Linked DNA regions of Macaca mulatta. The protein of the gene in region 1 purifies or fractionates together with the protein of each later gene. This does not show direct contact. Links are inferred from orthologs where the notes say so. Each region holds a gene or a part of one and is shown on either strand. Other genes may lie near its edges.

Region 1 (4,034 bases):
CACGGTGCTCAAGCCCACACTGAGAGAGAAATTTCCAGTTGCAAAAGGGAGAAGAGAAACGCTGGAATACTAGCATCGGACGTTAGGACATAGATGTGGTGGTTTTAAAAATCATTTCATCATCTGGAGTTTGACCCCGAGGGGAGTCTTTTCACTCTTCAGCCCTCTGAAAGCATTCACTAGCATCTGAATATTGTTCTGAGTTTGTTGGAGCAGTGAAATCTGGTGAGAGAGAAGGGTGGAGGAAGGAAGGAGCTGTTGTATTTGGCGGCTGGAGTCAGGTAGAGGAAACTGCTACAATCCCGGGAAAGAACAGAAAAGTAGAAAGAGAGGAGTTCCCACACGCAGCCAATGTCCATGGCCTTAACTGTGCTTGGGAAACAAGATCCTGGGCCAGGGGTGTTCCCTCGTTTTTCAAAACTAAATGTGTCTGAGACAGCTACAAAGTGTATTAAGGGACTTGAGAGACTACTTGAGTTTTTTTTTAATCTTGAGTTCCTTTCTTATTTTCATTGAGGGAGAGCTTGAGTTCATGATAAGTGCCGCGTCTACTCCTGGCTAATTTCTGAAAGAAAGACGTTCGCCTTGGCTTCTTTCCTAGGCCCCCAGCCTCCCCACGGATGGCAGAAACTTCTGGGTTAAGGCTGAGCGAACCATTGCCCACCGCCTCCACCCACCCCCAGCTAAGGCACGCCGGCAGGGGGGGCGCCCAGCCCCCCAGCAAACGCTCCGCGGCCTCCCCCGCAGACCGCGAGGTGGGGGCCATCGGGGAGGGCCGAGCTGGGGGCAGCTCGCCACCCCGGCTCCAAGCGAGCTGCCGGCGATCTTCGCGGTCCTCTGGTCCAGGCCCCGGCTTCCCCCGCGAGGAGCGGGAGGGAGGTCGGGGCTTAGGCGCCTTTGCGCACCCGCCAGTGCAGCGCCGGGCCCCGAACCCCAGGCCCCGCCCCAGGTTCCCGGCCGTTTGGCTAGTTTGTTTGTCTTAATTTTAATTTCTCCGAGGCCAGCCAGAGCAGGTTTGTTGGCAGCACTACCCCTCCAGCAGTCACGCGACCAGCCAATCTCCCGGCGGCGCTCGGGGAGGCGGCGCGCTCGGGAACGCGGGGAGGCGGCGGAACCGAGCCGGGGCCACCTTAAGGCCGCGCTCGCCAGCCTCGGCGGGGCGGCTCCCGGCGCCGCAACCAATGGATCTCCTCCTCTGTTTAAATAGACTCGCCGTGTCAATCATTTTCTTCTTCGTCAGCCTCCCTTCCACCGCCATATTGGGCCACTAAAAAAAGGGGGCTCGTCTTTTCGGGGTGTTTTTCTCCCCCTCCCCTGTCCCCGCTTGCTCACGGTTCCGCGACTCCGACGCCGGCAAGGTTTGGAGAGCGGCTGGGTTTGCGGGACCTGCGGGCTTGTACCCGCCCGGACTCGGACGGGCTTTGCCACCCTCTCCGCTTGCCTGGACCCCTCCCCTCCCCGCCCTCCCGCTCGCCGGTCCATTTGATCAGCGGAGATTCTCGGCGGCCGTGCCGGGGCTTCCCCGCAGCCCCTGCGCGCTCCTAGAGTTCGGGCCGTGGCTTGTCCGGATCTGTGTCTTTTGGCTCCGAGGCCAGTCGCTGGGCTTCCGAGAGGGGTCCGGGCTGCGTAGGGGCGTTTTGTTTTGTTCGGTTTTGTTTTGTTTTGTTTTTTTGAGAGTGCGAGAGAGGCGGTCGTGCAGACCCGGGAGAAAGATGTCAAACGTGCGAGTGTCTAACGGGAGCCCTAGCCTAGAGCGGATGGACGCCAGGCAGGCGGAGCACCCCAAGCCCTCGGCCTGCAGGAACCTCTTCGGCCCGGTGGACCACGAAGAGTTAACCCGGGACTTGGAGAAGCACTGCAGAGACATGGAAGAGGCGAGCCAGCGCAAGTGGAATTTCGATTTTCAGAATCACAGACCCCTAGAGGGCAAGTACGAGTGGCAAGAGGTGGAGAAGGGCAGCTTGCCTGAGTTCTACTATAGACCCCCGCGGGCCCCCAAAGGCGCCTGCAAGGTGCCGGCGCAGGAGAGCCAGGATGTCAGCGGGAGCCGCCCGGCGGCGCCTTTAATTGGGGCTCCGGCTAACCCTGAGGACACGCATTTGGTAGACCCAAAGACTGATCCGTCGGACAGCCAGACGGGGTTAGCGGAGCAGTGCGCAGGAATAAGGAAGCGACCTGCAACCGACGGTAATGACCCCTTCCCAACCGACGGTAATGACCCCTTCCCAACCACAGAAAGTCTGTGTCTGGGGCCCCGCTTTGCCTGCTGGAGGGTGCTAACCTTAGCTTGCTTTTCGGCGTATTCTGATTTAGCTTTGGGAGAGCGAACTTTATTGGTCTTAGGTGTTCAGTGCTACCTGGCCCACTGCTTGTCTGTGACTTTTAAGTCAGAAACTGGAAATGGTAAGATCCGATAATTTCCCTAACTTAAGACATCGCCGTCCCTCCCACTAGCAACCCCTAGGTATGTGACAAAGTTGGGATGTTTATCAACGGTCCGCCTCCTGGCTAGGGAGAGAGCTCTGGGGCGGAGAATGCACTTTCTTCTTTTTGAAAACAACCTCATTTTGTGTCCTTAAAGGCTACTGAGGATGACGGATCCTGGATTGTGGGTGGAGGGAGTGGGTTTTTCGTCCCGCGACTATTGGGCCAACTTCTGCCAGCCATTGTTTTTTCTAATAAAGATTGTGTGTTCTTTTTAAAAATTTCCTCTGCTCTTAGATTCTTCCACTCAAAACAAAAGAGCCAACAGAACAGAAGAAAATGTTTCAGACGGTTCCCCAAATGCCGGTTCTGTGGAGCAGACGCCCAAGAAGCCTGGCCTCAGAAGACGTCAAACGTAAACAGCTAGGTGGGTTGATCACTAAAGGAGCACGTACTGAAACCCGGGGCCATCAGACCTCACGATACCTGATCTTGCTGGTTGCTGGCAGATTACAATCTTTTGGGGTTTTGTTTTGTTTATACTTTCGTGAGGTCAAAAAAGTAGCAATGGGAAGGTTGGGGATACTGTAATTCTTCTATGCCTAGAGATACTTTCTCTTGAAACAGTAGACCAGAGCAACTACTTGTAACCAAGGCCCCATCGGGTAAGAAGGTCATTTCCCTGTGAGTCCCACTAAAACATGTTGGGAACAATAGGTTCTTCGCCCATCCGAACAAGAACTGGGGTACTCCCTCAGTCCCACTTCATGAGAATTCATTTCCCAGAGGTTCAGCTTGAGTCAGTAACAGATTTTGAGCCATACATGGAAAAATGGCAAGTACATTATTAAGTTTCAATTTTAAGGGGGAATGTTTGGTAGAAGTTGCTCACCTTTGGTTATGCAAGGGATTAGAGATGTCAGTGGGTGGTATGTTGTGTTCTTTGACATTTTCATAAACTGTCACTTTCCTTGTTTGCTCCTAAGTTTGGAGAGAGAAGGAACCAGTATTTGCAAAAACCAAAATGGAAAGATAAAAAACATTACTAAAGTTTCTACAGAATTTCTGGTAACACTGAAGTTGCAAAGCAGAAGTTAAATTAACTCTCGTCAGTAAGCAATCCAGGAACACGTCAGCCAGTGTATGCTAATTGTGCCGTAACAGGGTGATTTGGATATTTGTAGGGGAAATGGGTAGTAAATATCAAGACTGGTGACCGCAGGTCAGCCCAGCACAAAGGAAGTGGAGATTTTTCCATGCACAAGAATCTGATCACTGTAAATAGCTAATTTGAATAATTCAGTCCCCAAATGTACATGGATTGGCTATTCATAATGATCGAACTACATATATTAATAGTTTGTTAGCTTCTTATAGACCAAGACTGACCTCTTTATTTTCTAAAGCACACACGTAGCTTAGCATATGAGGCGATCTTAATATTGATGTTAACTTTTTAAATCCTCATTTATAAAAAATTTTAAAACAACAGGGATTACGGTGGGATTCAGGTGTGTTGTGTCTTTAAATTGTATATGTGACTTTACATATCTTATATTTTTCAGAGCTTATACAAAACGGCACTATAGAACCTCTATTTTATAGCACCA
Region 2 (4,219 bases), on another chromosome or scaffold:
TGAGGCAGGTGGATCACGAGATCAGGAGTTCGAGACCAGCTTGGCCAACATAGTGAAACCCCGTCTCTACTAAAAATAGAAAAATTAGCCAGGCATGGTGGCACGTGCCTGTAGTCCCAGCTACTTGGGAGGCTGAAGCAGGAGAATCGCTTGAACTCAGGAGGCAGAGGTTGCGGTGAGCTGAGATGGCATCACTGCACTCCAGCCTGGGCAACAGAATGAGACTGTCTCAAAACAAACAAAAAGACTGATTCTAGGAACAGGGGTGGAGATGGGAGAAGTTCAGGAAAGCTTCAGGAGTTGATGCTTGAGCTGTTTTCAAGGATGAAAAGGTTATTAGCTAAATGAAAGGGTGGGGAAGGCATTCTTACTAAGTGGGAAAGCAAAGGTAAGAATCGGTATGGACCTTTCAAGAAAGCATCATGTAGTTTGATATGCCCAAAGACCATGCTGGCTACATGTTTCATGTGCTATGCCCAGAAATTCAACACTAAAGCAATAGTTTTCAATGTCTTATCCTTAGATATAAGAAGCTTAACTGGCTGGGCGCGGTGGCTCACGCCTGTAATCCCAGCACTTTGGGAGGCCGAGGTAGGCAGATCACGAGGTCAGGAGTTCAAGACCAGCCTGGCCAACATGGTGAAACCTCATCTATACTAAAAATATGAAAATTAGCTGGGTGTGGTGTTGTGCGCCTGTAATCCCAGCTACTAGGGAGGCTGAGGCAGGAAAATTGCTTGAACCTGGGAGGCAGAGGTTGCAGTGAGCCGAGATCACACCACTACACTCCAGCCTGGGCAACAGAGCCAGACTCTGTCTCAAAAATTTTTTTTTCAGATAATTTTCCCAACTGGTTTTAATTAAGTTTAAAAAACTGAGCTTCAGAATGCAGTTCATTGCAGTTTCATCAAAGCAGCCTCCTCTACATGACCTACTTTTCCTTCACAGGGAGGTCTATCATAGGATACATTTACATACCTTTTATTTAATAAAAAGTTACTGGTTTTGAGGCTAAGTGTTAATTCATCTTCTTAACCACTCCCTGAAAAGTTGCATTCTTCCTGTTTTACTCTTTTGCATTTTCCAGTGTTACAGGTTTATTATTTAGTAGCCATATTAGGCAGTAAAAAATTTTAAGAGAACATTCTGTTTACTCCGATAAATTCTGCAGAGGTGGCTTGTACTTGGACAACAAAGCCTTTGGCTCAGGCAGGTACTACTTAATATCATTAACGAAGGAATATAAGACAGTTAACAATTAAAAGCATAGATTCTGAAGCCAGACAGCCTGAGCTTAAATCTCATATGGGCCACTTACCTGTGTGACCCTGACATAACCTCTCTAAAGCCATGATTTAAATAGTAGAGGTGACAATACCTACCTCAGAGTACCTGTAAAGATTATGTGAGTTAATGCATGTAGAATGTTGGGCAGAGATTGCCTCATGCTAAGCACTCAATAAATGGTATTAATTTGAATGCTCTTGCAGTGAAATAAGGGACAAGAAATAATCAACAGACTCTACAATGGTAAGAATAAGTTTACCAAAATAGGCTCAGGCGAAAGTTTTTCTTCTTTAACAGGCTCAGGTTCTGGCTCAGGTTCTGGCTGTGGCACTGGCTCAGACACTGGCACTGGCACCAGCATAGGTACCTTTTCAAGAGGTTTTGGTAGTTTTTTATCAATAACTTTTCCAGTAGCTGAAGGTTTTACTTCCTGTAGATGAAACAGAGAGAATGAAATGTTTCTGCATCAAAGGCCACAGTTGTAAGGCCAGCTCTGACAGAAGTTAGGTCGGGAAGACAGTTACCTTCTTCATAGGCATTTTGGCCTGCAGTTGTTCACTGACTTTGTTACCAATGTCCCCAAGAGCTGTTCTTGGCCTCAATCCGGGCTTGGAGGTTGCAGCAGGGGCCGTAGGAACGCGCTTTGCGCCTGCCATGCTGATCTTCGCCTTATTTTCAGCATTAATTTTCGAGTTCTGAAAGAAGCAAAGACCACTTTAAGAGCTGGTCCACGGAGGCTCGAGTAAGTCAAGGGTTAATTAAGGTGGGGCAGAAGAGAAGTTCCCAGAAGGAAAGCCGAGTAAAAATGGGTTCCGAGGGAAAACGTGGGTCCCAGAGTCTACTCTGCGGCCGTGACAAGTCAGTTTCCGCCGACAACCTCTACATTTACCAATTGAGGGATTCCCTGATTAGTCCTGCCCAGCCCTAAAATACCGAGAATTTACGTTTGAAAGGAAACCGAAAAAGCCTCCAATTGCAGACACCTTCTCTCTGGGAAGGGGGTTACAGAGCTGCTGGCGGGCCCACTCAGGGACCCTCTATCACTTTTTCAAAAGGTTCCCAGTCGACTTTCCATCTCCCCCAAACATTTATCCAATATCGGTCCAGTTCTCTTTCTCACCTTCCTCCCTCCATCCATCGTCCCCCACACTCCCCCACCAGGCCTGGGCCCACCTCGACGCTCTCTTGGTGACTTCCCTCCCACCTTCCTCCCCAAATCGTTCCTGCGGCCCTCTCCCGCTCGGGGGGCTCCCGCAGGCGAGGCAGAGCGAGCAGGCTGCAGCGAAGAAGGCCGCGTCAGTTCGCAGTCCGTAGCGGCTCACCCTGGTGACTCGGAGCGCCATGGCTTCCTCTTCACCAGGCAGCAGCTCAGCGGGGAGAAGCAGAACACCGGAGCCCCGACCAGCCGAGGACCTGCACCCAGCAGAGACCAACAGCCGTTCCTCCGCAGCACGCCGGGAAGAGCAGGCCCAGCCTCAGGTTTAAACCCCGCACTGCTCCCTCCTTATTGGCCTGTTCGTGGCACTCACTCCCTTCCCATTGGCGGCTGCCTGTCCCGGAGAATGCGTTTCCAGGGCGATCCCGCGAAGGCGTTCGAGAGGGGCGGGGCCAGAGTGAGGCTAGGTCGGAAGGCGTGGCCAGGCTCTCCCGTGGTCTGCCTCCGCGCCTGCGCTCTGGGGCAGCTGCCGCGGCCACCTGGAGAGCCGAGCAGCGCGAGCACCGCCCACCTGGAAAGGTGAGCCGGGCAAGAGTGTGCGCTGCCAATATCAGCTCAGGAAAGGCCTGGTGACCTTTGGAAGGTGACAGTGGCGCGGCCACAGTCTCAGAAGTGTCAAAAGTAGTTTTGGATCTAGTCCAAATTATTGTTGTACACTTTCCATTTCTACGGTAGCAGCAATAATATAGTTCATGAAAGGCTTTGATATACGTTCTTTCATTTGATCGTTGCAACAACTCTCTGGGGTGGAGGAACTGAAGCTCAGCGCCTTAGATGACTTTGCCAGGATCACACATTAGCAACGGGGGAACAGAATTTAGGGGGTTTTTTTTGAGGGGGAGGGAGGGGGCGTATTCGTGTTTTCACAATACTGATTGTCCCTTAACAATATTACTTCATTACTTCAAGATTGGCCAGTTTCCCAAGGCCAATTGTTTTGTGTGTTTTAGCTTCCTATTTGGAAATAATTTCATACTTGCACCAGTTGCCAACAAAAATCTTGTAAGGAACATTTCTGTACCCTTTACCCAGATTCAACTATCCTTAACATGTATTTGCCTCTCATGGGAAGATCAAGAAAAACTAAACAAAAAGACATTTTACACCATTTGCTTTGTTATTTGCTCAATCTCTCTCTGGATCCAAAGAAAAATAAGAGGGTTCTTTTTGCCTTCTACTCCTCAAAACACACCAGGAGCTCAACAATTGGAGGGGAGGCTGAAGGACAAAAACATTGATACCTCATAGAGCAACGGTATAAGAGCCAATAGAGACTGCTGGCCCTGGAAGTCAAGGATCCGAAAGAAGGCGCCCAATCATTTGGTTTCATTCGATCGTTATTCAGTCTTCTATCATCATAGTTCTACCCTCCTACTCGGATGCCTACCATGGGGCCCTTACCATTGCTCTCCTCTGCCTGGAATGCCCGCCTCTTGTTGCACTCAAGCCCCTGTTCTATTCAGGTAATTCCCATTCATCCTTCAGTTTTGTGTTCAGCATCCATCCTCAGTCTTTCTGGGTTTGATCAATCCTGCCTCGCCCCATGCAAGGGCGAGAGGCAAGGGGTGAGGCAGGATTACTTATCCTCTGTGTTCCAGTTTAAAAAATTTTTTTTTACTTTTTTTTTTTTTTTTTGAGACGGAGCCTGTATCTGTCTCCCAGGCTGGAGTGCAGTGGTGCGATCTCGACTCACTGCAACCTCCGCCTCCTGGGTTC
Region 3 (3,500 bases), on another chromosome or scaffold:
ACTGGGGTGCAGTGATGCGCTCTCGGCTCACTGCAACCTCTGCCTCCTGGGTTCAAGCAATTCCGTCCCTCAGCCTCCCAAGTAGCTGGGATTACAGGCACCCGCCACCATGCCCGACTAATTTTTTTGTACTTTTAGTAGAGACGGGTTTCACCATCTTGGCCAGGCTGGTCTTGAACTCCTGACCTTGTGATTCACCCACCTCAGCCTCCCAAAGTGCTGGGACTACAGGCATGAGCCACTGTGCGTGGCCTTTTTTTTTTTTTTTTTTTGCTTTTTTAAAGAGGCACGGTCTCGCTCTGTCACCCGGGCTGGTGTGCAGTGGCGTGGTCATAGCTCACTGTAGTCTTAAACTCCAGGATGCAAACAACCCTCTCGCCTCAGCCTCTCAAGTAGCTGGCCCTACAGATGCACACCACCACATCTGACTCATTTTTTTGTAGAGACGGGATCTTGTTTTGTTGTCTAGATTGGTCTCCAACTCTTGGGCCCAAGCAATCCTCCCATCTTAGACTTCCCAGAGTGCTGGGATTATAGGTGTGAGCCACTGTGCCCGACCAGGAACATTCTACGTTTATTAAAAGGCATATTTACTCTTGTAGGTGAGGGAAGGCCGACTTAAGGAGATTAGCCACATATTCCTGAAGAAAGATTTGGTTGTTAACTGGATTTCCAGGATTTAATGATGTACTTATTTTTCCTTCTTCAACCAAATTAAACATATATGCAAGAATTGATGCATGCATTGTTAAACCTGTTGATAAGAAGAAAATTATTAACTCCAAAATGTAATATAACCATAGATCTTAGTGTTTTTTTTTTTTGAGCAGAGTCTCGCTCTGTCACCCAGGCTGGAGTGCAGTGGTGCAATCTTAGTTCACTGCAACCTCTGCCTCCCGGATCCAAGCCATTCTCCTGCCTCAGCCTCCCGAGTAGGTGGGATTGCAATCGCATGCCACCATGCCCGGCTAATTTTTTTTATAGTGGCCAGGCTGTTCTCGAACTCCTGACCTCATGATCTCCCCGCCTCGACCTCCCAAAGTGCTGGCATTACAGGCATGCGCCATCGTGCCCGGCCGGCACTTAACATTTAAATCTTTTTTTTTTTTTTTGAGACGGAGTCTCGCTCTGTCGCCCAGGCTGGAGTGCAGTGGCCTGATCTCAGCTCACTGCAAGCTCCGCCTCCCGGGTTCACGCCATTCTCCTGCCTCAGCCTCCCGAGTAGCTGGGACCACAGGCGCCCGCCAGCTCGCCCGGCTAGTTTTTTGTATTTTTTAGTAGAGACGGGGTTTCACTGTGTTAGCCAGGATGGTCTCGATCTCCTGACCTTGTGATCCACCCGTCTCGGCCTCCCAAAGTGCTGGGATTACAGGCTTGAGCCACCGCGCCCGGCCCAACATTTAAATCTTAAACGTATTAAATTCTTACCAGCAGTATGTGAAGTGTCTGTCACAACAGAAAAGATATGCTGGAGAATATCACAAAAATAAGTTTGATAAAAACTCTGAGCTGCAGCTTCTTCTTGTGCAACATTTTGTAAGAGTGTAAAAAGTATCTGTAAGCCTAAAAGACATAGAATACCAATGGAAAGTTACTACAGACTGACAGCACTCATGATAGTATTTAGCTCTTATCAAAGTATTCTGAATCTAACCCTATTCTCCCTTTTTTTGGGGATGATGACTAATAATTACTTGCCTAAGGTTTCTTAAATTGATAATGGAGTACAACTATATCCAATGCTGGCTTACTTATAAATTATAATCTAAGTTATGTGAGAGCTAAACTATGAAGATGTAAAGGCATAAAGATCATATAATGGACTTTGGGGACTTGTGGGGAAGGGTGGGAGGGGGTGAGGGATAAGACTACACATAAGGTAGAGTTCCTACTGCTCGGCTGATGGGTGCACCAAAATCTCAGAAATCACCATTAAAGACTTTATTCATGTAATCACCAGTTGCCCCAAAACTATTGAAATTAAAAAAAAAATTTGTGAATATTAAAAAAAAAAGCCTATGGAGAAAAATTATAATCTAAGTTACGACCATTACCACCCTTTCACCATTTCTGAAAGCTTAGCTGATTCTGTATGAACTTCTACAACATCACTACTCAGTAGAATTTGGTATTACATAAACCAATTATTACTAGGCCCCTCTCCCATAACTCAATTCTGCCTATGGACTCACCTGGAGTGCAGTGGAACAGTTGATTAAACTGCTTATAGGATTTTCTCAGATGTTCATATATGTAATTCATGCATTCAAAACTCTGAACAAGTAATACCTTCCTATGTACAAGTATATAACTATCTATATTTGTATTTTTGGATTGACAGGCAAATGAATAAAAGAACATCTTTTAAATTTATTTACCCGTATCTGCGACATTCCTCATAGTATGTTTGAAGGCCCAAATGATGGAATCCAAAACAAGTTTAAACTGTGTAGGTGGAATAGCAAGGAATGCTGGGAAACAATGAGAATTGACAGCCTGAAGTAGTAAGAAAAAGTTCGTTCTGTGTTCAGGATATTCTTCAAAGTCCTAAAAATAAGTGGTGGAAACAAAATAATGTTTCAGTGTCTTCGCTGTGCTAGCAGGAGGGGAAAAGCAAGGCTTAATCCAGTAAAAATGTTTGGAGTTTTCAATAAACCATAGAAGATATAATGCCTCCTGAAAGATAAACCCAAACAAAATACAATCCACCTCCCATGGAAAATGAAACTGTTCCCTGTTACGCACATGAGTTATCAAATTGAAAGAGAAAGCTATCCTTATTAATAGAGAACTCATCAAAACCATTATTACCGTAACACTACTACTATCACTTTTGTTTTTAATTTGAAACCACCACTACAGATTACGAAAAAATTTAAGTTACCATGTGAATGTGTCCACTTACCATTTCTTTTATCTCTCGCTTTTTTTTTTTTTTTGGAGACAGAGTCTTGCTCTGTCGCCCAGGCTGGAGTGCAGTGGTGCAATTTCAGCTCACCGCAACTTCCGCCTCCTGGGTTCAAGCGATTCTCTTGCCTCAGCCTCCCGAGTAGCTAATTTTTGTTTTTTAGTAGAGACGGGGTTTCACCATGTTGATCAGGGCGGTCTTGAACTCCTGATCTCAGGCAATCCACCGGCCTCGGCCTCCCAACTGTTGGGATTACAGGCATGGGCCACCGCGCCTGGCCATTTTTGTATTTTTTTTTTTTTTTTTTGAGACAGAGTCTCGCTCTGTCACCCAGGCTGGAGTGCAGTGGCGCGATCTCGGCTCACTGCAAGCTCTGCCTCCCGGGTTCACGCCATTCTCCTGCCTCAGCCTCCCGGGTAGCTGGGACTACAGGCGCTCGCCACTTCGCCCGGCTAGTTTTTTGTATTTTTTTTAGTAGAGACGCGGTTTCACTGTGTTAGCCAGGATGGTCTCGATCTCCTGACCTCGTGATTCGCCCGTCTCGGCCTCCCAAAGTGCTGGGATTACAGGCTTGAGCCACCGCGCCCGGCCT
Region 4 (3,500 bases), on another chromosome or scaffold:
ATATAACAGGTTCAAAGAGAATGGAAAGAACAGAAGTAGAGACAGAATACAAGCAATTCTTCAAGGAGTTTAGTTATAAGGAAGGCAAAGCAGAGAAATGTAGTGGTAGCTGGGGGATAAAGTTTTCGTTTTTATTTTTATTGATGGATATCTTAGAGCAATTCTATATTCTGATGGCAGTGATCCAATAAAATAAAAAATGTGAAATGCTGGAAAGGGGACAATTACTGGAATGTGATGTCCTTGAGAAAGCAAGAAAAAATGAGATCTAGTGCACAAGTAGAGGGAATGGACTGGGATAGGAGCAAAGATCATTCTTTCACAATAACAAAGGGAAGGCAGAATATAGGGGTATGCATGTAGGTAGGATGGACGATAAGATGTGAGCATGTGGACAGTCTGTTCTGCTTCTGTTTTCTCAGTAAAAGAGAATAATGCGTGATTGTTGTAATTGAAGTGTGAGGACAGAGATGGGAGATATTAGAAGTGTACTAGATTTTTCACTTCATTACATTTACAGTTTATTGTTTAGACAATAGATAAGCAAATAAATAATTACAAATTTTATTCAGTGCTACAGAAAGAAACAAAGTATTGTGATAAGGATAATGGAATTAAATTCATTTAAATAAGGTGACCTTTTTGAAGAGGAAAAATAAGTTCCATTAATATTTTTTTAAATGTTGCTAAATTTTAAAATTATGAAAAAGCATTAGGAATAATATAACAAACATTCATATCCCTATTGCCTGTAATTAATAGATGTAATACTGCTATTATTGTTCAAGCCTTTTTTATTTTTATTTTTTGGGACAGGGTCTTGCTCTGTTGCTGAGGCTGGAGTGCAGTGGCATAATCATGGCTCACTGCAGCCTGAATCTCCTGGGCTCAGGTGATTCTCACACCACAGCCTCTCAAGTAGCTAGAACTACAAGTGTGCACCACCACACCTACGTAATTTTTTGTATTTTTTGTGGAGATGGTGTTTTGCCATGTTACCCAGGCTGGTCTTGAACTCCTGACTCAAGCGATCCAGGCCACCTTAGCCTCCAAAAGTGCTGGGATTACAGATGTGAGCTACCATGCCTGGCTGCCATTTTTAAATTAAAAGAAATAATATAGTTTCTGGTAGATACTTACTAAGTGCTCACTAAGTCAATGTATATTAATGAGTAAGTTAATTCTATCAAATTTTAAGATTTGCAAGTATATAAACTAGCCCACATTTATCATATTTTTCTGAACTAATACTACAGCTTACAGTGACCACTGCTTTCCATTTAATTTTCTACTCTAGAATTTTTCTGTAGTTTGAAATATTGACTTTATTAAAAATCAGAACATTTGGCCGGGCGTGGTGGCTCAAGCCTGTAATCCCAGCACTTTGGGAGGCCGAGACGGGCGGATCACGAGGTCAGGAGATCGAGACCATCTTGGCTAACACAGTGAAACCCCGTCTCTACTAAAAAATACAAAAAACTAGCCGGGCGAGGTGGCGGGCGCCTGTAGTTCCAGCTACTCGGGAGGCTGAGGCAGGAGAATGGCGTAAACCCGGGAGGCGGAGCTTGCAGTGAGCTGAGATCCGGCCACTGCACTCCAGCCTGGGCGACAGAGCGAGACTTCGTCTCAAAAAAAAAAAAAAAAAAAAAAAAAAAATCAGAACATCTGATAAAATAACTTGATTATTAAATTTTTAGTGTCCTGCTGATTTATCCTAATAAGATTTAGCATCAAGGAAACAATATATTCTATGTGAAAAGAGTTATGATTTAAAAAAAAATTTAAATTGTATACCATTTAATACACATGTTAAATAGTGTTTCAATTTTGGGAACCTGAAATTTCACATACTTTATTGAGCAGAAATTGTTATTCAACTCCAGTGTTATTCTAATCCTAAATAAGATATTTTGGTCTGTTCATATCACCCTTTTTCAATATATTGATGATCCTTTAGACAGAAGAAATACACTAAAATAAAAGCACTTACTATAAGCCGGGCGTGGTGGCTCACGCCTGTAATCCCAGCACTTTGGGAGGCTGAGGCAGGTGGATCACGAGGTCAGGAGATCGAGACCATCCTGGCTAACATGGTGAAACCCTGTCTCTACTAAAAATACAAAACATTAGCCGGGCATGGTGGCGGGTGCCTGTAGTCCCAGCTACTCGGGAGGCTGAGGCAGGAGAATGGTGTGAACCCGGGAGACGGAGGTTGCAGTGAGCTGAGATTGCAGCACTGCACTCCAGCCTGGGCGAAAGAGCGAGACTCTGTCTCAAAAAAAAAAAAAAAAAAAAAAGTACGTACTATAGAAGTAGGCTGCTCTGAAAAATAGAAATAACAATTTTTTGTTTGTTTGTTTTTGAGATGGAGTCTTGCTCTGTTGCCCAGGCTGGAGTACAGTGGACCATCTCAGCTTACCGCAACCTCCGCCTCCTGGGTTTAAGTGATTCTCCTGCCTCAGCCTCCCAAGTAGCTGGGATTACAGGCATCGGCCACCCCATTTGGCTAATTTTTGTATTTTTCTTTTTCTTTTTCTTTTTTGAGACAGAGTCTCACTCTGTCGCCCAGGCTGGAGTGCAGTGGTGCAATCTATGCTCACTGTAAGCTCCGCCTCCTGGGTTTACACCATTCTCCTGCCTCAGCCTCCCGAGTAGGTGGGACTACAGGTGTCCGCCACCACGCTCGGCTAATTTTTTTGCATTTTTAGTAGAGACGGGGTTTCACTATGTTAGTCAAGATGGTCTCAATCTCCTGACCTCGTTATCTGCCCGCCTCGGCCTCCCAAAGTGCTGGGATTACAGGCATGAGCCACTGCACCCAGCCTAATTTTTGTATTTTTAGTAGAGATGGGGTTTCACCATATTGGCCAGGCTGGTCTCAAACTCCTGACCTCAGGAGATCCACCTGCCTCAGCCTCCCAAAGTGCTGGGACTACAGCCGTGAGCACGGCTTACCTGGATGACAGTTTTTAGTTATGGTGATAACAAGACAGCAACATTGTAATACACAAGTTGTATTCATGGCAATGATCAATGGTCTACTCTACATATTAAAAAAAAAAAAAAAACCCAGAATACCAAAACATTAGAAGCACATTTAAAAAACAAGGATAATTAGATAAACAGAAAACAAAAATTACATATGTAAAGTTTTTTTAAAATTCTTACCTCCTCACAACATCGCCTGCTTACAATAGCCCTATAGTCAATTCTATCCCAGAGCTGGTCCCTTAACTTTAAGAAATTAGGGAACAATTTTCTCCAGTTTTTCCCTAAAGCCCATGGAAAAATTTCATACTTGGTTTCTTCTTCATCTTCTTCAACTGTATTAGCCAGATACCTAACAAAGAAGATCACAACCCAAAAAAGAAATGGGTAAAGGACAGAAACAGGTAGTTCACACACACCAAAAGACATAAAAATGGCTTATAAACACATGAAAGGTGTTTAACGTTACTTAAAGAAATGCAGTTCAAAAATAGAGATTCAGTTAATTTTAC
Region 5 (4,277 bases), on another chromosome or scaffold:
CCCTCCGCGCGCTCCTGCCCTCTCCCAAGCCGCTTAATCCTTCCTGGTTCCTCCGAGAAAAGCGAAGTTACTTTTCTTTCCCTGCAGGGCTGAAGCCGTCTTCGCGCGGAGAGGTTGCAGGGGCCCCTCGGGGATGAGCGAGCGGCGCGGGACGCAGTGGAACGGGAGGGGGCGTGCCGAGCAGCCCAGAGTGTGCCGGGAGCGCGGGGGAGGGGAGGCGCCGGGCACGTCAATGTCACGGCTTAATATTTATCCCTATATCATTGTGTTGCGTCGCTACCCTCCCCGCCTCCTGAGGCCCGGACGTGCAGGGAGATGGGGTCCAGGGGTGCCGGAGGGCGTTCAAGGGTCGCGCACAAGCTGGAGCGGAAGGACTGTGGGTCCATCCGTGTGGGGCCGCAGAATGTGGGTGGGGGCTCCCAGGACCCTGTAACCCGATGCTGTGAGTGTGCGAGAAGGGGTGGTCAGACATCTGCTCAGAAATTGCTTCCTTTCTTTCTACTTTCAGTTTTTCTACGAGGAGACATTTAAAAACGACTCGCATACACAAATGGTCTCTTTGGGGTAAAGGAGTCTCGGTTGGAAACGGAATTCTCTCTCCGACTGGGAGGACCTCCCTGGTGGAAACCTTGGGAAGACCAGCCATCTGGTCGGGGAGGGTTGGGGCTAATCGGGGGTGGGCGAACGAGAGGTCCTGGGGGAGGGGAGACACTGTCCCCCACGGGATCCCAAGGGTGGGAGAAAGGGGTGTTCGTCACAATTTCGCTTGTCGTCTTCTTAAAGAATAATTTCAGGAAGAGGATAGCTTAATCGCGCCTCGTCCTGAAGTTTTAAATTGATTTCGACCTGAGCAAAACTCAACCTCTCTTTCAAAGGGTGGGGGGTGGGGGGTTAAACCCTGCGCCTCCAGGGGTGAGAAACAAGGTCTCTGCCCTCGGGGCCCGGACTCGCGAACCTTTTCCCACTCCCAGGACCACCCCGCTGTAGGTAGCGGAGGTGGCTGCCCCATTCCCTCTCCGGCTAAAGGCCGGGTCCAGGCTGCAGCCGGACGCCCCCGGAGCCCTCTGCATAACAAAGCGCCGGAGAAGGGTACCCTAACTTTCCCTCCCCATTCAGCAGCTATCTGGGACCTAGGGAGCCTCCCTCCCCCACGGCCGCCGCGGCCTCGGCAGGACTTTCACCACGCTGGCCGCGTGTCCGGAATTCCCGGGGCACCTCGGAATTACCTGCCTCGCAACCGCTGCCCCGCTCGCCTTTTGCCAGGAATTAAACAAACGGCGCGACCCCCACGATGAGCGCGTGGAGCGGACCGCGGCGAAAGCAGTGCTTCTGGCACTCACTCCATTCAGAACTTTCCTTAAAAGCCGAGGAAAGAGCCCCCAAGGACTGCCCGGGCGTCTGAGCCAGGTCGAGGGCCACACAGGTAGCCGGGGAGCCGCCGCCGGCCGCCCAACCCGCCTCTCCTGCGTCCCCCCATCCCCCTCCCGCTCGAGTCTAGCCCCGGGCTCCGCAGCGAAGGAAGCGTCGGGGACGTCCCACCCCCGCAGGGAACTTCGCCTGCTGCCCCCGCCGGGCCCCGCACTACCCTGACTCTCCCCCCACTCGCCCCCCAGACGGTCGGCTTCGGCGGAGAGAAACGGGAGCAGCAATGCCTTTTCCCCCCCTCTCCTCCACTTTTTTTTTGTTGTTGTTGTTGCTTTCCCACGCTGGCTGAATGTGACTTGACCCCATTTCAAAAAAAGTTTGACATAGTGCTTCAACATTTCCGCATTCCTCCGCGACTACAAAGGCTGCAGCCGCCTCCTTCTGCTTTCTGTCTCTGCTCTCTGTCTTCACACTCAATGAAATCCTTCATGCGCCTCTCCCGAAGCCTGCCAAGCACCACAAGGGTCGCCACCAGCACGGCAACAAGAGGCCACACCGGGGACCGCGACTCCCGCGTGTGCGCACACGCAGATGCGCCCATATGCACACGGACGGGCGCCCTGCGGGGACAAGGGCTGCTCACCACGGGGCGTGTGTTTAACTCCAATATTTTAAATGATAAAAGTAAACTTGGAAACTAAAGCAAACGTGCGTCTTCGTGGGGCTCCAAGCCTGGGCACCGGCCGGCTGCGTGCACTCTTCTGTGCATAACACGCCCGCAGGAAGCCTGCGTTAACATTTATCTCGTGGAGGGGAAGGTGGAGCCCACACCCACACCTCAGCGAGCTGGCGAGGGAGTTTTCGTGGGGGAAATGCAAGCACATTCTCCAGCATGGAGTCCCTAGAGGCAGTGCATTTTGAACCCTAAATGTGAATTATTATGTGAATGTCCGAGTAGAGTTCCAGTTCCGTTTGGAGAAACTGGATGAGGAGTGTTCTGTGTGAGTGTGTGTGCGCACGGGTACGTGGAAGCAGGATCTCGGTGTCGCGGGTGTCCCTAGCGTAGGATCTCCCCCTCTCGTCAGATTAGAATCCTCTAGCTCCCCAAAACTGGCCCCCATAACCAACGCCGTCTCAGTTCGTAAGGGGTTAACCAAAGCCGATTCCAGGGAAACACAGGTCCCCCCCACCCCCCGCCAGCCTCCACTTACCCCACCCACAGTTCTGCCTCGGACCCCGGCCAATCCCCCATATCTCCCCAGGGACCCCCCACCCCGCAGCCCACCCACCCGAGCGCACAGCTCCTCACCTGAGGGGCCCAGTCGCGTCGGGCCTCCTGAGGGGGCTGCGAGTGTCAGTCGGCTCTCCGCACGTGTCCGCGGCCTCGCGGAGCAGGTAATCAGACTCTGGGGAAGGAGTTACCAGCACTCTCTCCGGCGAGGGGGTGGGCACAGCGGCGGAGGGCGGAGGGAAGGCGGAGGGCGCCGCCCGCGCCGCTAGCTGGGGGCGGACGGGGGCCGCGGGGCTCTGGCCGGCGCTGGGGGCCCCAGCCAGGGAGGCAGCGGGGGCGACCGCGCGGGGTGGGGGCAGGGACCCGAGAAGCCAACTCTGCCGGAGACCCACCCAGCGGCGAGGCTGGGGGCTCGTGGCGCAGTGGCAAGAAAGTGTGCAAATTAAAGCCTTCCGGAGAGAAAGGAGGCGGCCAAGCCCCGGCAGTGCTCCGAGCTCCGGGCTCCCTAGCTCCCTTCTACGAGTCGGGGGCTAGAAAGGCGCGGGGCGGGGGGGTTGGGGGGGCAGGGGAGTTAAATGAAAATTTCCGGCTTTCACTGAAACTGTAGTAGGGGGATCCTGCGACTAAAATAAGCGGCGTTAGTGGGAGAGAGTGGGACGTGTCGTCGGGAGTCGGCGGAGTTTCCAAACCCAGGGTCGCCCAGAGTTGGGGTTTTGACAGGGTGAAGCAGGGGGTATCCTCACTGTGTGACGTGGACGGATGGGAAAAACACAAAACAACTAACAATAATTATGAAGGGCCGATGGGGGTGGTAAATACCAATACTTTCCAAGAAACTGAAAAATCAGACCAAAAAATAACTCTTCTCTTAAAAAAATAAAGAAAAAGTTTGGCAGGATGCCTTGCAGAAAAGAAAATACTAATCTGTTCAAGCACTTTTCACTTTCAGCATGAGCTACATTTGTTTTGTTTTCCTTCGCTTCCTTTCTGCCTCACAAAGCCCTATCTTTTCCTTTTAGACAGAGGGTATGGTTTGGAAATTGTCAGGCACTCTTATGGTTAACGATCTACTTGAAGGGGCTGGCGGGTTCACAATTATTAAGTGGTTAGTAACTGCTGAGGGTTCACTAACGTATTTCAGAGGAGCTAAAAAGACTAAAATTTAGTGTAAATAATAGAACTGCAGATAATAGATACATACACAGAAAGAGGAGTGCTCAGTTTAAATGCATTATTGGAAATCTGAAATTTGAAACCTTGTAAGAATGTATACTTTACCTGCTGAGAAACCCTTGAATACAATTATTTCAGGTGAAAATGAGCTTTTGGAGAAAAAAAGTCTTTAAAACCTTCTACAATGGAGTAAAAGAAAACTTGAAATAGCTGTCTTTTTGGAAAGAATTTGGTGTTCTCCCCAAAATCTCTATCTGTAGAATACTTGAAACCCTTTAAAACATATTAAAGAAAAACTTTTCACAAAATTATTTACTTCAGTGCTTTGTAGAAAAATTAAAACCCGGCAAAATTCTGTTTGAATTGGACATACTACTTCTATAAATCTTTTGACTTTAAAACCATGTTACTGATCTCATAGTAAATCAAATTTTTGCCTTTATAAAATTGATTCTATATTATAGTATAAGGTAAGGCTAGGGAAATAAAAAATTGATGCATTTCCAGT
Region 6 (3,500 bases), on another chromosome or scaffold:
TGAGTTCCATCCTTAAGATATCCTCTTCACTGCAAGCACCATCAGTGACGTAAGCAAACTCTTGGAGTTTAGGAGCGTAGATTTCCTTTAAATTGTAATTTTTTTATTGAGTACAATTGAGATAGAAATTAATTACAAATGTTCCTCAGTTTACAATGGGGTTACATCCCAATAAACCAAAATATCGTTTAAGTAGAAAGTACATTTTTATTTTCTTGGAGAAATAAGCAAAAATTTAAAAAGTACATTTTCTTTTTTTTTTTTTTTTTGAGGCAGAGTCTTACTCTGTCACTCAGGCTGGAGTGCAGTGGTGCAGTCTCGGCTCACTGCAACTTCCACCTTCCAGGCTCAAGTGATTCTTGTGTCTCAGCCTCCCCAGTAGCTGGGATTACAGGTGTGTGCCACTATGCCCAGCTATTTTTTGTATTTTCAGTAGAGAGAGGGTTTCACCATGTAGGCCAGGTTGGTCTCGAACTCCTGACTGCAAATGATTTGCCCTCCTCGGCCTCCCAAAGTGCTGGGATTAACCACCACACCTGGCCAGAAAGTGTACTTTCAACTTACGGTATTTTCAACCTATGCAGACATAGCCCTGTTGTATGTCAAGGGGCATAATGAATGCAGGTTGTTTTCAACCATCATAAAGTCAAAACATTGTAGGTCAAACCATGGTAAGTAGGGGACCATCTATATACAAATCACACACAAGCTTCAGATTTAAGGACAGCTTCACTAAGTAAATGTAAATCTCAGTAAAATAATTCTATAGTCAAACTTAGTAAGACATTTTCATATCTAGGTATCTAGTAACTATATTGATTATCAAGACTTCTTTTCATAGAATTGACTTTGAATTTTCATTAACACAACTAGAGTATGTCATTTCAGTTAAAGAACAACCAAACTTGTTTTAAGATTGCCTGATACATTGGTCAGATCAAAAGGAGACACCCTGCTGGGTGCAGTGCAGCAGCTCACACGTATAATCCCAGCACTTTGGGAGGTCGAGGTAGGAGAATCATCTGAGCCCAGGAATTTAAGATCAGCATGAGCAACAAAGAGAAACACTGTCTCTACAAGAAAAAATAGCCAGGCATGGTGGTGCATCCCTGTAGTCAGCTATTCCAGAGTCTGAGGTGAGAGGATCGCTGTAGCCTGGGAGGTCAAGGCTGTACTGAGGTGTGATAGTGCCACTGCATCCAGCCTGTGTGACAGCAAGACCGTGTCTCAAAAAACAAAAGCAAAGCACCAAACAAATAAGGTCTAGAAACTAAAAACATTTCCTTTACCCTAGTACAAAAATATGGTTAGTCAAAAAATACTTCATGCAGTTTGGCTAACAGGTCCGTTTTAGCACTCCAGAGAAGAATTAGAATCATCAAAGGATTAGGTGTCTCCCACATAGGAGAACAGGCTAAAAGATGAGGATTTCGGTCTAGAAAGTTGTCTAAAACAGTATAATTTCAAGTAAGGATAGACTGAACACAAGTTTATGTGCCAAATTCAGCAGAATTTGGGGATGGCTCTTAAAGCTCAAAAGACATTAAAAAGAAAAAGGAAAACACTTAATATATGATCACAATCTCTCTTCTTTCAAAATGATACCAGCTATAAAAGTCTTAGGTGAAAGTATTGATGATATCCATCACGTATTAAGAAACGTAAATTGAGCTTATGCGAAGGAAAATCTTAAGAAAGGAGTTGCCTTCTATCATGGCAGCACCATGAGATACAAAAATATTAGGCTGGCCAGGCGCGGTGGCTCATACCTGTAGTCCCAGCACATTGGGAGGCTGAGGCGGGTGGATCGCCTGAGTCAGGAGTTCAAGACCAGCCTGGCCAACATGGTGAAACCCCATCTCTACTAAAAATACAAAAATCAGCTGGGCGTGGTGGCAAGCGCCTGTAATCCCAGTTACTCAGGAGGCTGAGGCAGGAGAACCACTTGAACCCGGGAGGCAGAGGTTGTACTGAACCCAGATCATCCCATTACACTCCAGCCTGGGTGAAAGAGTGAGACTTTGTCTCAATAAAAAAAAAAAAAAAAAAAAAAAAGCTGGATAAACCATTATTCTAACCCAACACAGTATTCATTTCATTTCATTTTATTAGCTGTTTAGTTTTCAAAGGTCATTCTGTTTAATACAAATGCTATAATTATGTATATAAATAGAGCATCAATATGTTTCGTTTGGCAGAATGAGCCATGGGACATTTCACTTAGATACTAATCCCAGAATCTAAACCAGAGATTTATAATAAGGCTCAGACATTACAGAGGGAACTATGATAATTTATCATTTATCCCTGTGATAATGTTCAGAAAATGTACTGAGAAACAAAAACATTCACTTTTCTAAGGAGTTAATATAAGACATAGTATTCTTTGGGATTAATACGTTGATTAAAAAAAAAGTTTGGGATAAATATATCTAAGGATAAACTTTGAGAACTTACCTCAAGTTTGGAAGCAATGAATAATGAGGTAATTCCAATGAGTTGAAGCATATTTTTATTTATATCCTTTTGTGTCAACATAAATCTATCAAAAAAGTCTTGTGCAAGATAAAATGTTTCCCTATGAAGTGTGTATACTTCACATACCTAGAGAAGATTCCAAACATTTAAATATTATCCTCTGAATTTCTCAAATTAGAAAGTCATCTCTCAGCATATCAGATTTTAAAATATGTTTAAGCCAAACTGATAGCAAAGCTAAGATAGGAAAGGAAAAAAAGAAACTAACATGTGTTATTAGGATAAATCTATTACTATCCACATTTACTAGTTTTATCGTTTTTCTTACCTCATTTATTTTTCATATTTTACTGCACTGGTTAAAAATTATCGAAGGATACTGAACGTTTAACATTGGTCATAAAATCTTATCCCTTGTTTCTGACTTTAATAGGAATTGCCCTGATGTTTCACTATTGTTAATAATAATAATAAATAGTATCTGTCATTTCCACACTTTTAGGAAAAGCTTGTAATTCTCACAGTAACTCCTTAAGTAGGTACCATTATCCCCATTTTGGAGGTGAGGAAATAGAGATATATACCAGAGTTTTTTTTTTTTTTTTTTTTTTTTTGGAGACAGGGTCTCGCTTTGTCACCCAGGCTGGAGTGCAGTGGCTCACTGCAACTTCTGCCTCCCAGCTTCAGGTGATTCTCCTACCTCAGCCTCCTGAGTGGCTGAGATTACAGGTATGTGCCACCATGCCCAGCTAATTTTTTGTATTTTTAGTAGAGATGGGATTTTGCCATGTTGGCCAGGCTGGTCTCGAACTCCTGGCTTCAACTGATCTGCCTGCCTCAGCCTCCCAAAATGCTGACATTACAGGTATAAGGCACCACACCTGGCCACCTGAGTTTCTAATAATAAGTTAAGAAAATCTCATTTGCTGGCCGAGTGCGATGGCTCACACCTGTAATCCCAGCACTTTGGGAGACCAAGGCGGGCGGATCACTTGAGGTCAGCAGTTCAAGACCAGCCTGGC
Region 7 (4,031 bases), on another chromosome or scaffold:
GCACACACACCACCTCCATCTTTTCACAAAAAGGAAGTTCCCCTTCTACCTTCCAGCCCCAACCCCTCCAAAAACATCTTGCTCTCTGGCCCTGGAAACTAGCTCCACCTTCAGACTTGCCAAAAACTACCAGATTCATCACAAAGAGCTGTGGAGTCTCCTGGATTCCCAACTCTGGCCTCCTACTCCCATCTCTGAGCTACTTGGCAGGAAGAGGAATCCTGTTCCTCGACTCACAGCAGTCGGGGGCCCCAGTACCCTGGCTTCCCTGCCAGCCAATCACAGCAGCCTGCTTGCTGCCCTCCTCCCTGGGAGATGGGGCCCAGAGACTCCTCTCAGGGTCAGCAGAAGACTTGGCCCGCCACAGAGCAAGGTGGAAGAAAGTGCCAGCTCACCCACCCTCTCCCCCCAGCCCCCTAGGAGACAATCTGCATGTCCTAAATAACCTCTTCCAGATCCAGCAGCTGCCCGGGACTGAGGCTCCTTCTGAGGCGGGACAGAACCGGTGACTTTCCTGCCCTGTCTGAGCCCAGCCCAAGTTTCCAGCAAGAGGCCCAGGGAGCCACTTCCCAAACCACAGGAGTGACAGCAGCTCCCCACAGGGTTATGAAAGACCTTGGTCAGAGAGGGCGGGCCGGGGGAGGGGGCACCATTATCACATCGGAAGCAGCTGCAGCTCACCTCCCTGCCTGTCCCTCAGCTTGGGCCTTTGGCTAAGGGGGGTAGAGGGAGCTGTTTCCACCAGGCCCAAAGCAGCTGCTCCAGTTCCTCAGAATGAGGACAGGAAAGGATTAGGAAGAAGCTGTCTCTTCCGGGATATAAGAGGAAGCAAAGAAGGTGGGATGAAATACATCAGCCCTTCCTTAAAGCAATCAGAGCCTGGCTTTAATTGGCTCTGGGAGGTTTTTCTATCACAAAGTCCACATGAGGATAAAGACTCAACCAAGGCAAACCCCCTCCCCCACATGAAGCACATTCCACTCCCCTACTCCAGTGGGGGTGTGCAGGCATGCCCTTCTGCTGCCAATAAATAACTCATGGTGGCTGCGTAAACCCAGAGGCAAAGTACTAGTGAGTGTAGACATGCAGTTTGACTTGTTGCTATCTGAGGGAAAGACCAGGAAGGAGTGGCATCCCCTGGAGGTCAGGAGGGCGTTTAATGCCTGACTGCAGCTCGAGCCTAGGCGGGAGTGATACTAACCATCACACCACACTGCCCCATCGTTTGTTCCACCCTAATTCCCTTCCCAAAGGTCCTGATCGCCTTGCGCCCTCTCCAGGGAGCAGAAAGCCTCTGATATCTCAAGCGTTCCTTTTCCTGGAAAGTGGGGAGACAGTATGTGTCGGGGGTGGGGGGAGTTACACACGCACCCGCAACTGGCGGGGAGAGACAGCGTGGTCGGTGTAGATGCACAGTTTTTCGATGGTCAGGGGCGTGGTCTCGCGCAGCTTGGAGGCCAGCAGCATGCAGACCGCACCCAGGAGCTGCAACTGCGCCTTTCGGGTGGGGACACAGGACAGGTAGCGATCCAGGTAGTTCATGGCCAGGGGGAAGACTTCCTCCTCACAGCGCTGCTCCTCACATACCTGGGGGAGGGCGCACAGTCACTGCTGGGGCCGGAGCGTGGGGAACACAGCAGCGCGGGGGTGGGGGCGCTGAAGTGAGGTGGGATAGGGAGCAAAAACGGGAGAGAGGGTAAGCTACTTACAGAGACAAGGACCAATAAAGGAGGAGGATGGGCCCTCCCCAAGGTGACGCCCCCCACTTCCTCTGCGCGGCCTCCTCCCCTCTCCCCTTGGTGGGGTGGGGGTGGTAAAGTCAAGGAGCCCTTCCTCAAGAAGGATTCCAAACGGAGACTCCCCTCCCCCACAGCGACGGGAAGTGGGACGCAAGGGTCACCCATGGTAGCCAGAGAGCTGGGACCTCACCCCCATCACCGCCACCACTGCACACACCCGAAGGGAAGGGAGGAGGCTCCTGCCACTGCCTCCCGCACTTTTCATTTCCCTGTCGGCCGGAACAGGGCGCGCGCCACCCCCATCGCCTTCCCCGCCAGAACCCCGCGACAGACACAGGAACCGGCTCCCGGGCGGGGGCGGCCGAGCCCAGGGTTTTCCAGGCGCGCTCTCCGGAGAAGGCCGGGAGGGGGAGGGAAGTGGGAGACGCTGTGAGAAGCCGAAGGGGAGACGATGTCCCTGGTCCCGTTTTCTCGGCCCGAAGAGAGGCACAGTTACGGTGCCAAGTGACTGGCACTCACAGTTGGGAGGAGCCGATTAGGGCTCGGGAAAGCAAGGGAGGCAGCTGGCTAGGGTGCCCTAGTGAAAGGCCAGGCCCCGGGGGTCTTAGCCTCGGAGCATCCTGCAGATTGCTGTGGGGACCGCGATGTCCCGACAGGGCGGCCCCGGTGTGTCCAGACCCGGGAGCGGTGGGGGAGGGGGACGCGTCCGGGCGGTACCTCCAGCATCCAGTAAGCCAGCATCTTCCGCATGTGCGGCTTTATCTCCCGCTGCACGCACTGGAAGTAGGAGGCGCGGGGCACGTAGCGCTCCTCCAGGCGGAGCAGGCTCTGCAGGACACGCTGGTCCCCGAGTAGCCGCGGGTCCGGCCCGGCCCGGGGCGCGTGCCGGGTGCCTTCGCAACACAGCAGCTCCATACTCGGGCAGCGCACAGGCAGGGCGGGAGTGCGGGCTCGCGAGTTTCAAGGCAGGCGACGGGCCGGAGAGCGCGGAGAGCGGGTCTGGCGCTGGCGCTGGCGCTGGCACTGCGCGGCGGATCCCCAGCCCGCCCGCCGCCCGCGCGCGCCGCTTCCCTGACAGGCGCCCCGCCCCTCGCGACGATGTAGCAACCGTGGAATGCTCGGACGTCGCAACGCTCCGAGGGGCGGGGCTGCGGCGCCCCGGACGGAAAGGGCTGGCTGGGCGCTCTCCCCTCCCTCCCGCGGCCCCATTGGGCCGCTGAGCGCAAGCCGGCCGGCTTCCGGGCACTCCGGGCCCTCTGGACCACCGGGTGCAGAGAACTTTCTAGGAGGTGGGCCTCCTACCCACCCACGAGCCCTCCCATTTTGCTTCTCGGACTCTAGTCACCCAGGAAAGAATTTTTCTCCAAAGGTCATTCATTCACTTATTCATTCGTCAAACCCTACTTCACCGGCTGCTTGCTCTAAGGAATGCGATAAATAATGTCAGAGTCAGTTCTTAGTGAACACTGCTCCAAAGCCTCACAATGTAATGACTCACTACATCTTCACGAAAACTCGGAAACCGAGGCAACTGTCATTCGGTTGGCCCGTGGCAGAGCTAGGATTGGGAATCTGGCCTTCTTGCTCCAGATTCTGTGCTCTACACCACTGCTAGTTAAACAGTGATCCCAGACCTGTCCCGTGCATGGTCATCGCCTGGGAGCTGGTTAGAAATGCAGACTCTCAGGCCCACCCCTAACCTGAATCAGAATCTGCATTTTAACTAGATTTCTGTGCACTTTAAAGTATGAGAGCTGGGCCGGGCGCGGTGGCTCACGCCTGTAATCCCAGCACTTTGGGAGGCCGAGGCGGGCGGATCACAAGGTCAGGAGATCGAGACCACGGTGAAACCCCGTCTCTACTAAAAATACAAAAAATTAGCCGGGCGCGGTTGTGGGCGCCTGTAGTCCCAGCTACTCGGGAGGCTGAGGCAGGAGAATGGCGTGAACCCGGGAGGCGGAGCTTGCAGTGAGCCGAGATCGCGCCACTGCACTCCAGCCTGGGCCACAGAGCGAGACTCCGTCTCAAAAAAAAAAAAATAAAAATAAAAAAAAAAAAATAAAGTATGAGAGCCTTAGTCTAAATCAGCATATAACAGAACGGAAAGGCCATGGAGTCAAGGCCTCCTCACCTTGTCAAGTTGGTTGCCCAGCTTTGGACAAGCCCCTAAAGTCGGCCTTAGTTTCTGTTTGGAGAAACTGGACGGAAAAACTAGATTCTCACTGAATCAGTTTCTCCCACAGACTCTGAGATCTACCGGTTGCATTTCTTCCACCTCCCAAACTTTTGGTT

The links.
Region 2: the proteins of CDKN1B (region 1) and CCNB1 purify together in Homo sapiens (affinity purification with mass spectrometry; 5 studies listed by BioGRID and IntAct, with this or other methods). This does not show direct contact. The link is inferred for Macaca mulatta from reciprocal best matches to the Homo sapiens genes CDKN1B and CCNB1.
Region 3: the proteins of CDKN1B (region 1) and XPO1 purify together in Homo sapiens (affinity purification with western blotting; 4 studies listed by BioGRID). This does not show direct contact. The link is inferred for Macaca mulatta from reciprocal best matches to the Homo sapiens genes CDKN1B and XPO1.
Region 4: the proteins of CDKN1B (region 1) and SPDYA purify together in Homo sapiens (affinity purification with western blotting; 3 studies listed by BioGRID). This does not show direct contact. The link is inferred for Macaca mulatta from reciprocal best matches to the Homo sapiens genes CDKN1B and SPDYA.
Region 5: the proteins of CDKN1B (region 1) and CDK6 purify together in Homo sapiens (affinity purification with western blotting; 8 studies listed by BioGRID and IntAct, counting the BioPlex papers as one, with this or other methods). This does not show direct contact. The link is inferred for Macaca mulatta from reciprocal best matches to the Homo sapiens genes CDKN1B and CDK6.
Region 6: the proteins of CDKN1B (region 1) and CCNE2 purify together in Homo sapiens (co-immunoprecipitation; 5 studies listed by BioGRID and IntAct, with this or other methods). This does not show direct contact. The link is inferred for Macaca mulatta from reciprocal best matches to the Homo sapiens genes CDKN1B and CCNE2.
Region 7: the proteins of CDKN1B (region 1) and CCND3 purify together in Homo sapiens (affinity purification with western blotting; 9 studies listed by BioGRID and IntAct, counting the BioPlex papers as one, with this or other methods). This does not show direct contact. The link is inferred for Macaca mulatta from reciprocal best matches to the Homo sapiens genes CDKN1B and CCND3.

What each region holds. Positions count from the first base shown.
Region 1 is NC_133416.1:15,138,590-15,142,623, forward strand, and holds the start of CDKN1B (cyclin-dependent kinase inhibitor 1B), read left to right. Parts: upstream 1-1,234; 5' UTR 1,235-1,712; coding exon 1,713-2,187; coding exon of another isoform or gene 2,188-2,211; intron 2,212-2,721; coding exon 2,722-2,843; 3' UTR 2,844-2,851; intron 2,852-4,034. UniProt on the Homo sapiens protein: Important regulator of cell cycle progression. Inhibits the kinase activity of CDK2 bound to cyclin A, but has little inhibitory activity on CDK2 bound to SPDYA. Involved in G1 arrest. Potent inhibitor of cyclin E- and cyclin A-CDK2 complexes.
Region 2 is NC_133411.1:77,232,276-77,236,494, reverse strand, and holds the start of CCNB1 (G2/mitotic-specific cyclin-B1), read right to left. Parts: upstream 2,801-4,219; 5' UTR 2,631-2,800; coding exon 2,610-2,630; intron 1,983-2,609; coding exon 1,812-1,982; intron 1,718-1,811; coding exon 1,547-1,717; intron 1-1,546. UniProt on the Homo sapiens protein: Essential for the control of the cell cycle at the G2/M (mitosis) transition.
Region 3 is NC_133418.1:63,249,455-63,252,954, reverse strand, and holds part of XPO1 (exportin-1), read right to left. Parts: intron 2,548-3,500; coding exon 2,379-2,547; intron 1,564-2,378; coding exon 1,429-1,563; intron 755-1,428; coding exon 595-754; intron 1-594. UniProt on the Homo sapiens protein: Mediates the nuclear export of cellular proteins (cargos) bearing a leucine-rich nuclear export signal (NES) and of RNAs.
Region 4 is NC_133418.1:96,143,769-96,147,268, forward strand, and holds part of SPDYA (speedy protein A), read right to left. Parts: intron 3,341-3,500; coding exon 3,169-3,340; intron 1-3,168. UniProt on the Homo sapiens protein: Regulates the G1/S phase transition of the cell cycle by binding and activating CDK1 and CDK2.
Region 5 is NC_133408.1:126,535,039-126,539,315, reverse strand, and holds the start of CDK6 (cyclin-dependent kinase 6), read right to left. Parts: upstream 2,801-4,277; 5' UTR 2,675-2,800; intron 2,022-2,674; exon of another isoform or gene 1,227-2,021; intron 164-1,226; exon of another isoform or gene 2-163; intron 1-1. UniProt on the Homo sapiens protein: Serine/threonine-protein kinase involved in the control of the cell cycle and differentiation; promotes G1/S transition. Phosphorylates pRB/RB1 and NPM1.
Region 6 is NC_133413.1:105,279,625-105,283,124, forward strand, and holds part of CCNE2 (G1/S-specific cyclin-E2), read right to left. Parts: intron 2,605-3,500; coding exon 2,458-2,604; intron 86-2,457; coding exon 1-85. UniProt on the Homo sapiens protein: Essential for the control of the cell cycle at the late G1 and early S phase.
Region 7 is NC_133409.1:140,231,242-140,235,272, reverse strand, and holds the start of CCND3 (G1/S-specific cyclin-D3), read right to left. Parts: upstream 2,801-4,031; 5' UTR 2,655-2,800; coding exon 2,457-2,654; intron 2,167-2,456; coding exon of another isoform or gene 1,957-2,166; intron 1,588-1,956; coding exon 1,372-1,587; intron 1-1,371. UniProt on the Homo sapiens protein: Regulatory component of the cyclin D3-CDK4 (DC) complex that phosphorylates and inhibits members of the retinoblastoma (RB) protein family including RB1 and regulates the cell-cycle during G(1)/S transition.